Linked DNA regions of Xenopus tropicalis. The protein of the gene in region 1 binds, or shares a complex with, the protein of each later gene. Links are inferred from orthologs where the notes say so. Each region holds a gene or a part of one and is shown on either strand. Other genes may lie near its edges.

Region 1 (5,100 bases):
GGGAGTTTTCCTGGTATCCAGGTGGGCCAGTCCGAGACTGGACAGCGTTGAATTTGGTTTCTTATTCTGCCAGTTTCTTATTTGTGCCTTGAAGTTGGTTTCTAATTCAGTCAGTGAATAAGTAACTAGTGTTTAAAAGAAATGACCTTGGGCGACAGTTTTAAAAGTATACATTCATAGACAGGGTTCCGTACATAATGTACAGCTTGTTCCAGCCTGGCCCAAAATAGTTCTGGGCAGGAAAAGTGGCCCCAAAGTGGCATTAGTGTCTAATGATTTAAAGAGTTAAATGACTTTGGGCCACTGATTTAAAAATATATATTTGCAGGCAGGGATTCGCCCCATTGTATGCACCTAGTTCCGGTCTGGCCCGAAAGTGTTTTGGGTAAGAAACATGGCATTAATCTGGCCATCATTGCAATCCTGCCTATTTGAATAAGTAACATGTGCTAAAGGGGTTAAATAAGTTTGAGCTACTGCTATAAACCTATATATTTGCAGGCAGGGTGCATTGTATGCACCACTTTCCAGCCTGGCCCAAGATATGCCGATTTGAATAAGTAACAGGGGTGCTGAGGGTGTTTAATGCCTTTGGGCTGCTGATTTAAAACTATTTTCAGGCAGTGATTCCTCATATTGTATTCACCCTGTTCTGGCCTGGCCCGAAAGGATTCTGGAAAGGATAAGTGGCTCCAAAGTGGGCATCTTTGCAATTCTGGCTTTCTGAATAAGTAATGGGCTGGTTGAAAAGGTTAAATGACCTTGGGCCACAGGTAGATTGGCAGGCAGGGATCCCCCACATACTATGTATCTTGTTCTACCCTTGCCTGTAACAGTTCTGTGCAGGAAAAGTGGCATTAGTTTCTAATATGGTCCGATGAATAACTAATGATTTAAAGGGTTAAATGACTTTGGCCCACTGATTTCAATGTATATGCACAGACAGGGATGACCTGCATTATATTCATATCTTTTCAACCTGGAATGGTTTTGGGAATGAAAAGTGGCATTTAGGTGGGGAGTATGGATATTTTGCCTGTTTATACTAGTAACTTGTGTTTTAAAGGGGACCTGTCACCCAGTCATAAAAAGCTGTATAATAAAAGTTCTTTCAAAATTAAACATGAAACCCAACCCTTTTTTTAAAATAAATCATTCATACCCGTTATAAATATATTTAAAAATCTGAGCTGTCAATCATATATTGCCTGCCCCGCCTCTATGCCGCAGTTTGAGCCAGGCTGAAATAAGATGTATGCTATGCAGGGCATCCCTGCCTGTCAATCTATACTTTGATAATTGTGTCCCAGATATCAAAGTATAGATTGACAGGCAGGGATGCCCTGCATAGCATACAGCCTGGCTCAAATCATTTAACCTCTTGGACACCACTGTTACTATATTTACACATATATAAAAGGCTTAATTGCTAGGATGCCCATTATGGTGCCTCATTTCATGCCAACAACCATTTTGGAGCAGGCTAGAATGCACTGCATACTATACATTCCAGAATGCTCAGGACCTGGGGTTTTCCGGATAAGGGGTCATTCCTTAATATGGATCTCCTACCTTAAGTCTACTAAAAAAAATTATTTAAACAGTAATTAAACCCAATAGGATTGTTTTGCCCCCAATAAGGATTAATTATATCTTAGTTGGGATCAAGTACAGCTACTGTTTTATTATTACAGAGAAAAGGGAATCATTTAACCATTAAATAAACCCAATAGGGCTGTTCTGCCCCCAATAAGGGGTAATTATATCTTAGTTGGGATCAAGTACAGGTACTGTTTTATTATTACAGAGAAAAGGGAATCATTTAACCATTAAATAAACCCAATAGGGCTGTTCTGCCCCCAATAAGGGGTAATTATATCTTAGTTGGGATCAAGTACAGGTACTGTTTTATTATTACAGAGAAAAGGGAATCATTTAACCATTAAATAAACCCAATAGGGCTGTTCTGCCCCCAATAAGGGGTAATTATATCTTAGTTGGGATCAAGTACAGGTACTGTTATTACTACAGAGAAAAAGGAATACAATGGAGTCTATGGGAGATGGCCTTTCCGTAATTCGGAACTTTCTGGGTAATGGGTTTCCAGATAAGGGGTCTGATACCTGTACTCTGAACTCAGTTACCCAAATCCATTTAACCCCTTTAAAAGTCAACCAAAAAAAATGAAATTTTGCTAACTTTTCAATATAAATTTATTTAATAATTGTAGTGCTTTAAAGGAGAACTAAAGCCTAAAAATGAATGTTTTTAGGGTTTGCATTTGCTTAACTCCTGTTTAAAAACCTTCCTAGACTCAATGTTGCACAGTCAGCTGGCTTGTGTTATATTGCATCAAAACAATGTAACACTATTAATGTAACACATTGTTTTAACAGCAATAATATATACAAATTTGTATGAATGTATATTGTGAAGTTGCTTAGAATTATGTCTTCGCTTATTAGGCAAAGAATCAGGGTCGGAATGGGATTCCCAGGAAAAAACCCGGTGGGCTCCAGCGGCCCAGACCCAATCCCTGTTACCCAGGGGCCCTGCAGGTGCCCCAGCCGTGTCCCCTAACCCCCCCCCAGGGGCCCCCCTAACCCCCCCCGCAGGGCCCCCGCCTGATGTCCTCCGAGAGCGCATATAAATTGAACGCGTCGGGGAGGAACAGTCAGTAGGGGGAGCGCTGGCAAAGGTCGGACTGGGCCGCTGGGGCCCTCTAGGGCCGGGGCCCACCGGGATTTTTCCCGGTGTCCCGGCGGCCCAGTCTGACCCTGCCTGTTACCGCTCCCCCGGCCGCCGGTGTCCTCCCCTGACGCATTTCACTTACACACATTCAGGGGAGGATGTCAGGCAGGTGGCGGGGCCCCTGCGTGGGGTTAGGGGGGGCGCAGCTGGAAGAGCACCTTGGGGGTGTGGGGCCCCTGGGGTGGTAGCCCCGGTGGGCCCTAAACCCCCCCATAGAATTCTTTTTTTGAATTGACGTCCTTTAAACCACTAGTCACCTATTCAATAAGGCAGAATTGCATGATGGCGAGTTTTGTCATGTTTACAGTTCTGAAGGAACTCGTTCCATTTATACGTGACACACAGACGTCTGGATGAGCCAGAGACTAAGGGCAGGGGGGTATAACAAGTTCTGTTCCGCCACTTGTGCTCCCTCTAAAACAAAATCACACACAGCCCATAGTGTAAATTCACCCCCACATGCATTTACACAACTTACTTGGAGTAGGGAAGTGTCCTGTGTTGTTGTTTTACTCTTCCTCAGTCCCTCTTTGATTCACTATTTTGCTTCACTTCCGCCCATGTGACTTTCCTCCAGGTGCCTGCTGGGTCCTAATGCTCACCTCTAGCCTCGCCACTCACAGCTCTCCTGGCTTCCTCACAGGAGTCCTTTGTACCTTTAGCACCCTCTAATGGTATTTATATGTAAAGGATCCAAATATCACATTAGATTGTCTAAATAAAAGGAATAAATTAGATTATAATTATTAACTTATATGTATAAAGCGCCAACATATTCCGCAGCGCTGTACAATACATTGGGCATACAGACTTACATACAAAGCAACCAATAACCGATACAAGAGGTGAAGAGGGCCCTGCCCAAAAGAGCTTCCAATTTAAAAGAAGAAAGGGTTGTGGGAATGGGCAACATCAAGTTGTGGGAATGGGCAAGATCAAGGTGTGGGAATGGGCAACATCAAGTTGTGGGAATGGGCAAGATCAAGGTGTGGGAATGGGCAAGATCAAGGTGTGGGAATGGGAAAGATCAAGGTGTGGGAATGGTCAAGATCAAGGTGTGGGAATGGGCAAGATCAAGGTGTGGGAATTGGAAAGATCAAAGTGTGGGAATGGGCAAGATCAAGGTGTGGGAATGGACAAGATCAAGGTGTGGGAATGGGCAAGATCAAGGTGTGGGAATGGGCAAGATCAAAGTGTGGGAATGGGCAAGATCAAAGTGTGGGAATGGGCAAGATCAAGGTGTGGGAATGGGAAAGATCAAGGTGTGGGAATGGGCAAGATCAAAGTGTGGGAATGGGCAAGATCAAGGTGTGGGAATGGGCAAGATCAAGGTGTGGGAATGGGAAAGATCAAGGTGTGGGAATGGTCAAGATCAAGGTGTGGGAATGGGCAAGATCAAAGTATGGGAATGGGCAAGATCAAGGTGTGGGAATGGGCAATATCAAGGTGTGGGAATGGGCAAGATCAAGGTGTGGGAATGGGCAAGATCAAGGTGTGGGAATGGGCAAGATCAAGGTGTGGGAATGGACAAGATCAAGGTGTGGGAATGGGCAAGATCAAGGTGTGGGAATGGGCAAGATCAGAAGTCAGCAAGATGAGAGATGTAGCATAGGGTATTCAGTAGCACTCAGTAAGTTCTGCTATACTAAATGAGGGGAAGCTTCTCTAAATAAATATGAGATGGGAATGAGAGATAAGGTTAGTAGAGAAGTGTAACCACCAGTTTGGTTGGTATCTATAGATGATTTTAGAGATGTGGGGCAGAGATATAAAGTGCTTTGAATGTGAGGGTCATGGTAGCGGAAGCCAATACAGGGATTGGCAGAGGGACATGGCAGAGGATAATCGATTTTTGAGGTGTATGAGCCTAGCAGCAGTATTCATTATGGACTGGGAAGGCCAATTAATAGAAAGTTAAGGTGGCCATACACAGGCAGATTTAAGCTGCCAATTCGAGTTTTTTAGACTGATTCGGCAGCTTATCCTCCCATGTATGGGGCCCCCCGTCTGGCCCTCCTGATCCATATCTGGCTGAACAACGGGCAGGTGTTGATCAGGCAGGTTGGATTTTTCTGTCAGATCAGGGACTGCATCAGCTCATTGATGTGGTCCTCAGTCCGACAGTGCCTACGCCTTCCATTGTAATTCAATGGTTTGGCCCTAGGCCAGCAATCAAATTAGCCCAATATTGCCCACCTCAGATGGGCATATGGGAAGATTTGATTTAGCAACCTCACCTAATGAGTGAATCTTAAAGGCGTAGTTCACCTTTTAGTTATTGTTACTTTTCATAACTTATTTTTCTATTCGGGTCCTTGTCTATTTATATCTGTCTCTCATTCAAACCAC
Region 2 (5,006 bases), on another chromosome or scaffold:
TAGTAATGAGAGTCTGTCCTTATAGTTTCTTTTTTTTAGTTCACACACAGCAGTCTAATGCAGCGGCCTCCCCCCTATGATGCAGTCGTCATACATAAGCTGTTAGACAAAAGAGAGAAAGAAAACTATTTAGAGCCAAAAATTGTTATACATAAACCTTATTAAGCGACAACTTTATTGCAAGAGAGTTACATGTTGGACCAAAACATAACTCAGGGGTTGCTACTGAACCCACTTTTTTCTAACTTAAAAGGAAGAAGATGATCACTAATCTAAAAATGGATGGGTTTATGGTTTTATCAGTCTCCGTAGCCCCTGCCAAATCTCATCCCTGCCTCACCCTAAATGCTTTATTTTATTTTAGCTGCCCAAACTGCTAGGGCCTGCACAACCCAACAGATTATTAAAAATTCTTTAACATTAGGCTAATTATTACATGTGCTTGAAACTGGTTTAACTGCCATTCATTCCCATGCCATTACTATGATGAACTCGTCTCTAGGTCTCACCTCATCATCATTATATTCATATTCGGAGTCAGAACTGTCTTCCTCTTCACTCTCTGGAAGGTACTGCAAATTCTTGTGTGTCACTTCAACCAGCTGTTGTTGAATCAGCATGTTATTTCTGCCCCATGTGAGCTGGCACGGAGAGTAGCCTTGGTACGTGACTCTGTTTACATCTGCTCCGTGCTTAAGCAGCAGTTTCATCAGGTCGTAGTTCTGCAGGTCCACGGCCATATGCAGCACAGTGCGACCATTGCAAGGCTCCTGTGGTGAGGGAAACAGAAATTTCTCTTAGATCTAGAGGCAAAATTGAATCCAATAGACATGGCAGGAAGAAACATCAGTATGTAGCCAAGTGAAGTAGGGGGAATACTGACCTGGGCATTTATATCAGCCCCCTTATTAATGAGATTTTCCACAATTGCAAGATAGCCATGGATCGATGCCAGGTGGAGGCACGTGTGACCTGCATCGGAAAGAAAGATATTAGCAAGGCAGTTCTAATTCTAATTTGCCAAGTAGCACAACAACACACGTCTAAAGGTTTATAGATTAAGTTTGATACATACCATCATAGTTCACAGATTGCAGAAGTGCTGGCAGTTGTTTCTCACAATACTGGAAAATGACCCCAACTCCCCGAAGCGAGCCCTGCTTGCAGGCAATGTGCAAGGCGGTGTTGCCACAGAAGTCTTGGATTTCTGGATCACAACCAGCCTGGAGAAGTGACTGGCTGATGTCTTGTTGTTCGGTGATTACTGCCAGATGTAGTGCTGTCTGCAGAAAAGACATTAAAAAAAAAAAGAAAAATCAGTAAATTCATTCTCATTAAACACAAAATTGAACTTGCAGAATAAGCTTGTACTATATTCTATCCCTCATGAACATGCTATGAGTGCACTGACTATTAATATTTTAAGTGCTGGCCAACTTACATGTCATAGGTCAATTATTCCACAAACTGGCCCTCTATTATACTTTATATGTTAAAATTCCTTTGGAGGGCCACATCCGGCCCACGGGCCTCCAGTTGGACAGCCCTGCCCTAACCGACAATGGTGGCACATGACAAGCTAATCTAGAAATAAAGTTTTTACAAGGTTTAGAAAAAAAATAAAAAGTAAATTACCTGGTGCAGATTATTCTGCTTGTTCAGGTAAAAATGGTCCCTGTATGAACGTTGGATTGCCTCCTTCACCAGGGTTTTCTCTTCATGGATAATTGCCAAATGGAGAAACCTAGAAGGGAACATAAAAAGGACATGTTAAAATAGAGAAGCAAATTTGTGTCATTTAACCATAAAAAAAGAAAAGATGAACTAGCAGGTTTATGGGAAATGACAAACTAGCTTTCCAATCTTAGCATCTTATTACAAAATGTCATTTCTGTATTTACTATTTCATCATTCAGAAGTAGAAAATGTACCCCCCCCTCCCCTTTGGGAACCAGTAAGTGAAGTGGTGTTAAGGTTCAGTGTGTGGGAAAGATCGAGGTGAATAAAACTTCATAAATTTAGAAACTGCCAAGCAATAGGAAATAATAATTCATAATGAACCTATTTCATCATAGCGGCATGTCGGTGAGCTGCAATACTAGTCAGTGGTGACACAAGTGTGTACTTCCCCCTCCCCCAGCCAACTATGCAATTGTGTAAGTCTGGGGATTTTTTCTTCTCTAGATCTGTCTGTTGTTTTCCGCTTTCTGCTGTGAGTGTGAGAGTGTGTGTGTGTGCAGTTGTGTTCCTGGCTACTGGCCAGGGACTTTCCAAAGCCAGAGTCCTGCCCCTGGGTGCCTGCCAGCCCCCACCCCTCTGAGGCAGCAAGTCAGAGAACAAGGTGTCCTCCCACCCCCCCTCCCTCCAGCTCACACGAAGAAGGGAAAACCCAGACAGATATGGCGTCTCTTCTGCACCAACAAAAAAATTCCCCTACCAAGAACAAACATGCACCAAGCCATCTAACAGCTGCCCGGCGTTGCTGCATGCTTGCAAATACCAATGCATGATATAAAAAAAGCATTAAAAGCACAAGGGTTTTTAACTATTTGCACAACTTACTAATACTGCATGTTTATGGTTGCATGAAAAAGCTGCACAATAAATTGCAGTGTTATGCAGTGTAGCCTGCCCCATGCACCTAACTGTGCATTCACCATAAAGAAGTCATGCATTAGTAAATATCTACATATCCTACACTAAACACTGCCCCAAACCTAGGTGTCCCTGTTATATATATATATATATTAGTGCAGCACTATAGAGTACTATCCCTTTATCAGTATATACACTGTGCAAGGCAGATGTAATGGTTTTAGATGTACTAATACTAAGGTTCATCGCCCCTATACAATATCAGTAGATACTGAGCACAATCCCCAGCCATATAACGAACCCATTCTCTATCACTTACGTGTCTCCATCTTCGTTGACCTCTTTCTTCCATGGCTCCGGCTCATAGTTCGATGTGTCCGGCGGGCCCTCCATTCTCATGTTGCTGAGGTCAGTAATGATAGCCGTGTATTCCTCCTCCTTCAGGGAGTCCAGGCCGCTATCAATGCGATCGTCCTGCAGCAGTTTGTCCTTCCGGAGATCCCTAGCTTCTCCCTCCATCATATTCCCTTGGTAATCGTGAAAAGGCACAGACATGGCGGCGGCCGGTTGTTGAGCTTCCCCGCAAAATAGCTTAGAAGACACTGTAGAATCCCAGTTGCGATAGTGAAGTTCTGTAGCTGTAGCCTCCTCTATACTAATCCCATCCGATCAGAGCGACTTCTGGTAGCGATCTGGCAGCTCCCTCCCCCAGCAGGCTACTTTTACATATACAGCCGGGGTTTTTTCTGGGTGGAGCCGAGCTCAGTTTCCTACTTGTGAACTATTATGTACTCTGGGAAATTCCAAGAATAAGTCAGTATAGGAACACAATGAACCTGACGGAGCCAGTTCTGTGGTACAATAAAAGGAAGAGCGCAGAAATATGTACAAGGCTCAGAAATTCCCTTTTTTCAGACGTGCGCAGCTACTCCATGTACATTCCTCTCAGCACACTCACCATTCCTGGGACACACTGGGGGGATTCGGGCAAAAATACACATTAGTTCCCCACATCATACTCGGCATTTATATGCGTTAAATATACCTTCGTCTGACAGACTATTGATATTATGCTAAATACATAAGAGCTCAACGTCCGGGGAGCCATTTGCATTTTGCACCTTAACCCACACACACAACCGACTTGCACCTAATGATTGATGCTAATGCCATTTTGTTTTATTTCAGCAACTTCCAGAAACGAGGGGTTTACAAACAATGCAACTTTCGCGCAATGTTCCCCAAAAGGCTGCAAAAATTGCGTCATAAGCAGCAAGATTACACTGGGATTCTGGGGAATAACGTTGCATTGTGGGTGAAACATGGAATTTTGCACTCTTTTGTGCATTGTAGTAAGGCTTTCCCACTGGAAAGAAATACAGGTCTTCCTAAATTTTCATCTCTCTACCCAGTTAACATTGGGATATTGCAGTATTTTAACTGGTCAGGCCAGTATAATAACCTCCAGGTGGCAATCCTAATTGCAGTTTGCATTTGCTTTAAAAAAAACATAAGCCCCTTTGTGCATTATTGTTGGGATGAAATGAGATTGTATGAATTTAATAGTTATTATTTTTATAACGATAATAGTTTCAGGTACCTTGCTTAGGTGAAATAACTTAATTGCCATTTGCCGAAGGTTATCTGTCCGTAATTCTTGTGTGGGAATAAAAGTAGTAAACCAAAAACATCATGGAATACTTTGACTATACTATTGTGCGCTCTGCACTAGTGATGTGCCCAGGCCCGGGCCTAGGGCGGCATAAACATAGGGGCGGCATGCTGCCCCGCCGCACGCAAATTTCAAAATTTTGCTCCCATACGGAGCAATGGGGACCTCTCCCCACTGCTCTGTATGGGAGTTTTAACTTTGGCGCATGCGCATTAGCGCGGCGGCAGGGGAGGAGGAGGTGGTTTGCGCATGCGCGCTCGCACGGCGGGTAGGGGGCGCCAAATGGGGGCGGCCTCGGGGCGCGTCATTTAGAAATCCGGTGCTGGATGTGCCCCCCTGACACAAGGGGCATATATATTATAGTGTGTAAGCCAAAATCAGCTGTGATGTTGCATATAGCATTTAATAAGCAATTAGATTTTAATGGTCACCTACAAGTTAAGGTGGCCATACACGTTACAGTTATCAACCTTCCTGCGACCATTGGCAAAAACAATAAGAATTCTACCCCTATTTGACGATTCAGCCCTTAACGTATGCTTATGCTCAGGCGCTTCAACAGTGCCCGATCAAAATATTTTACCCTGCCCGATTGGCAAGACGACCAATATCCAAGGTTTTTTGTGATATTGGTCACTTCGTCGATCCACTATACATACACCGAATATCGAATGTTGGCTTACACAGTATAATAAATATACCCTTAAGAGAGTAGGTGCAGCATCCCTTAGGCCACATT

The links. Proteins that work in one complex are often made in the same cells at the same time.
Region 2: chuk (region 1) and nfkbia share a complex: the UniProt entries of both Homo sapiens proteins name them as parts of the 70-90 kDa complex. The link is inferred for Xenopus tropicalis from reciprocal best matches to the Homo sapiens genes CHUK and NFKBIA.

Annotation. Positions count from the first base shown.
Region 1 is NC_030683.2:110,589,449-110,594,548, forward strand, and holds the start of chuk (inhibitor of nuclear factor kappa-B kinase subunit alpha), read right to left. Parts: upstream 3,269-5,100; 5' UTR 3,230-3,268; intron 1-3,229.
Region 2 is NC_030684.2:109,511,425-109,516,430, forward strand, and holds the start of nfkbia (NF-kappa-B inhibitor alpha), read right to left. Parts: upstream 3,271-5,006; 5' UTR 3,151-3,270; coding exon 2,915-3,150; intron 1,745-2,914; coding exon 1,636-1,744; intron 1,284-1,635; coding exon 1,076-1,283; intron 973-1,075; coding exon 884-972; intron 771-883; coding exon 510-770; intron 100-509; coding exon 55-99; 3' UTR 1-54. UniProt on the Homo sapiens protein: Inhibits the activity of dimeric NF-kappa-B/REL complexes by trapping REL (RELA/p65 and NFKB1/p50) dimers in the cytoplasm by masking their nuclear localization signals.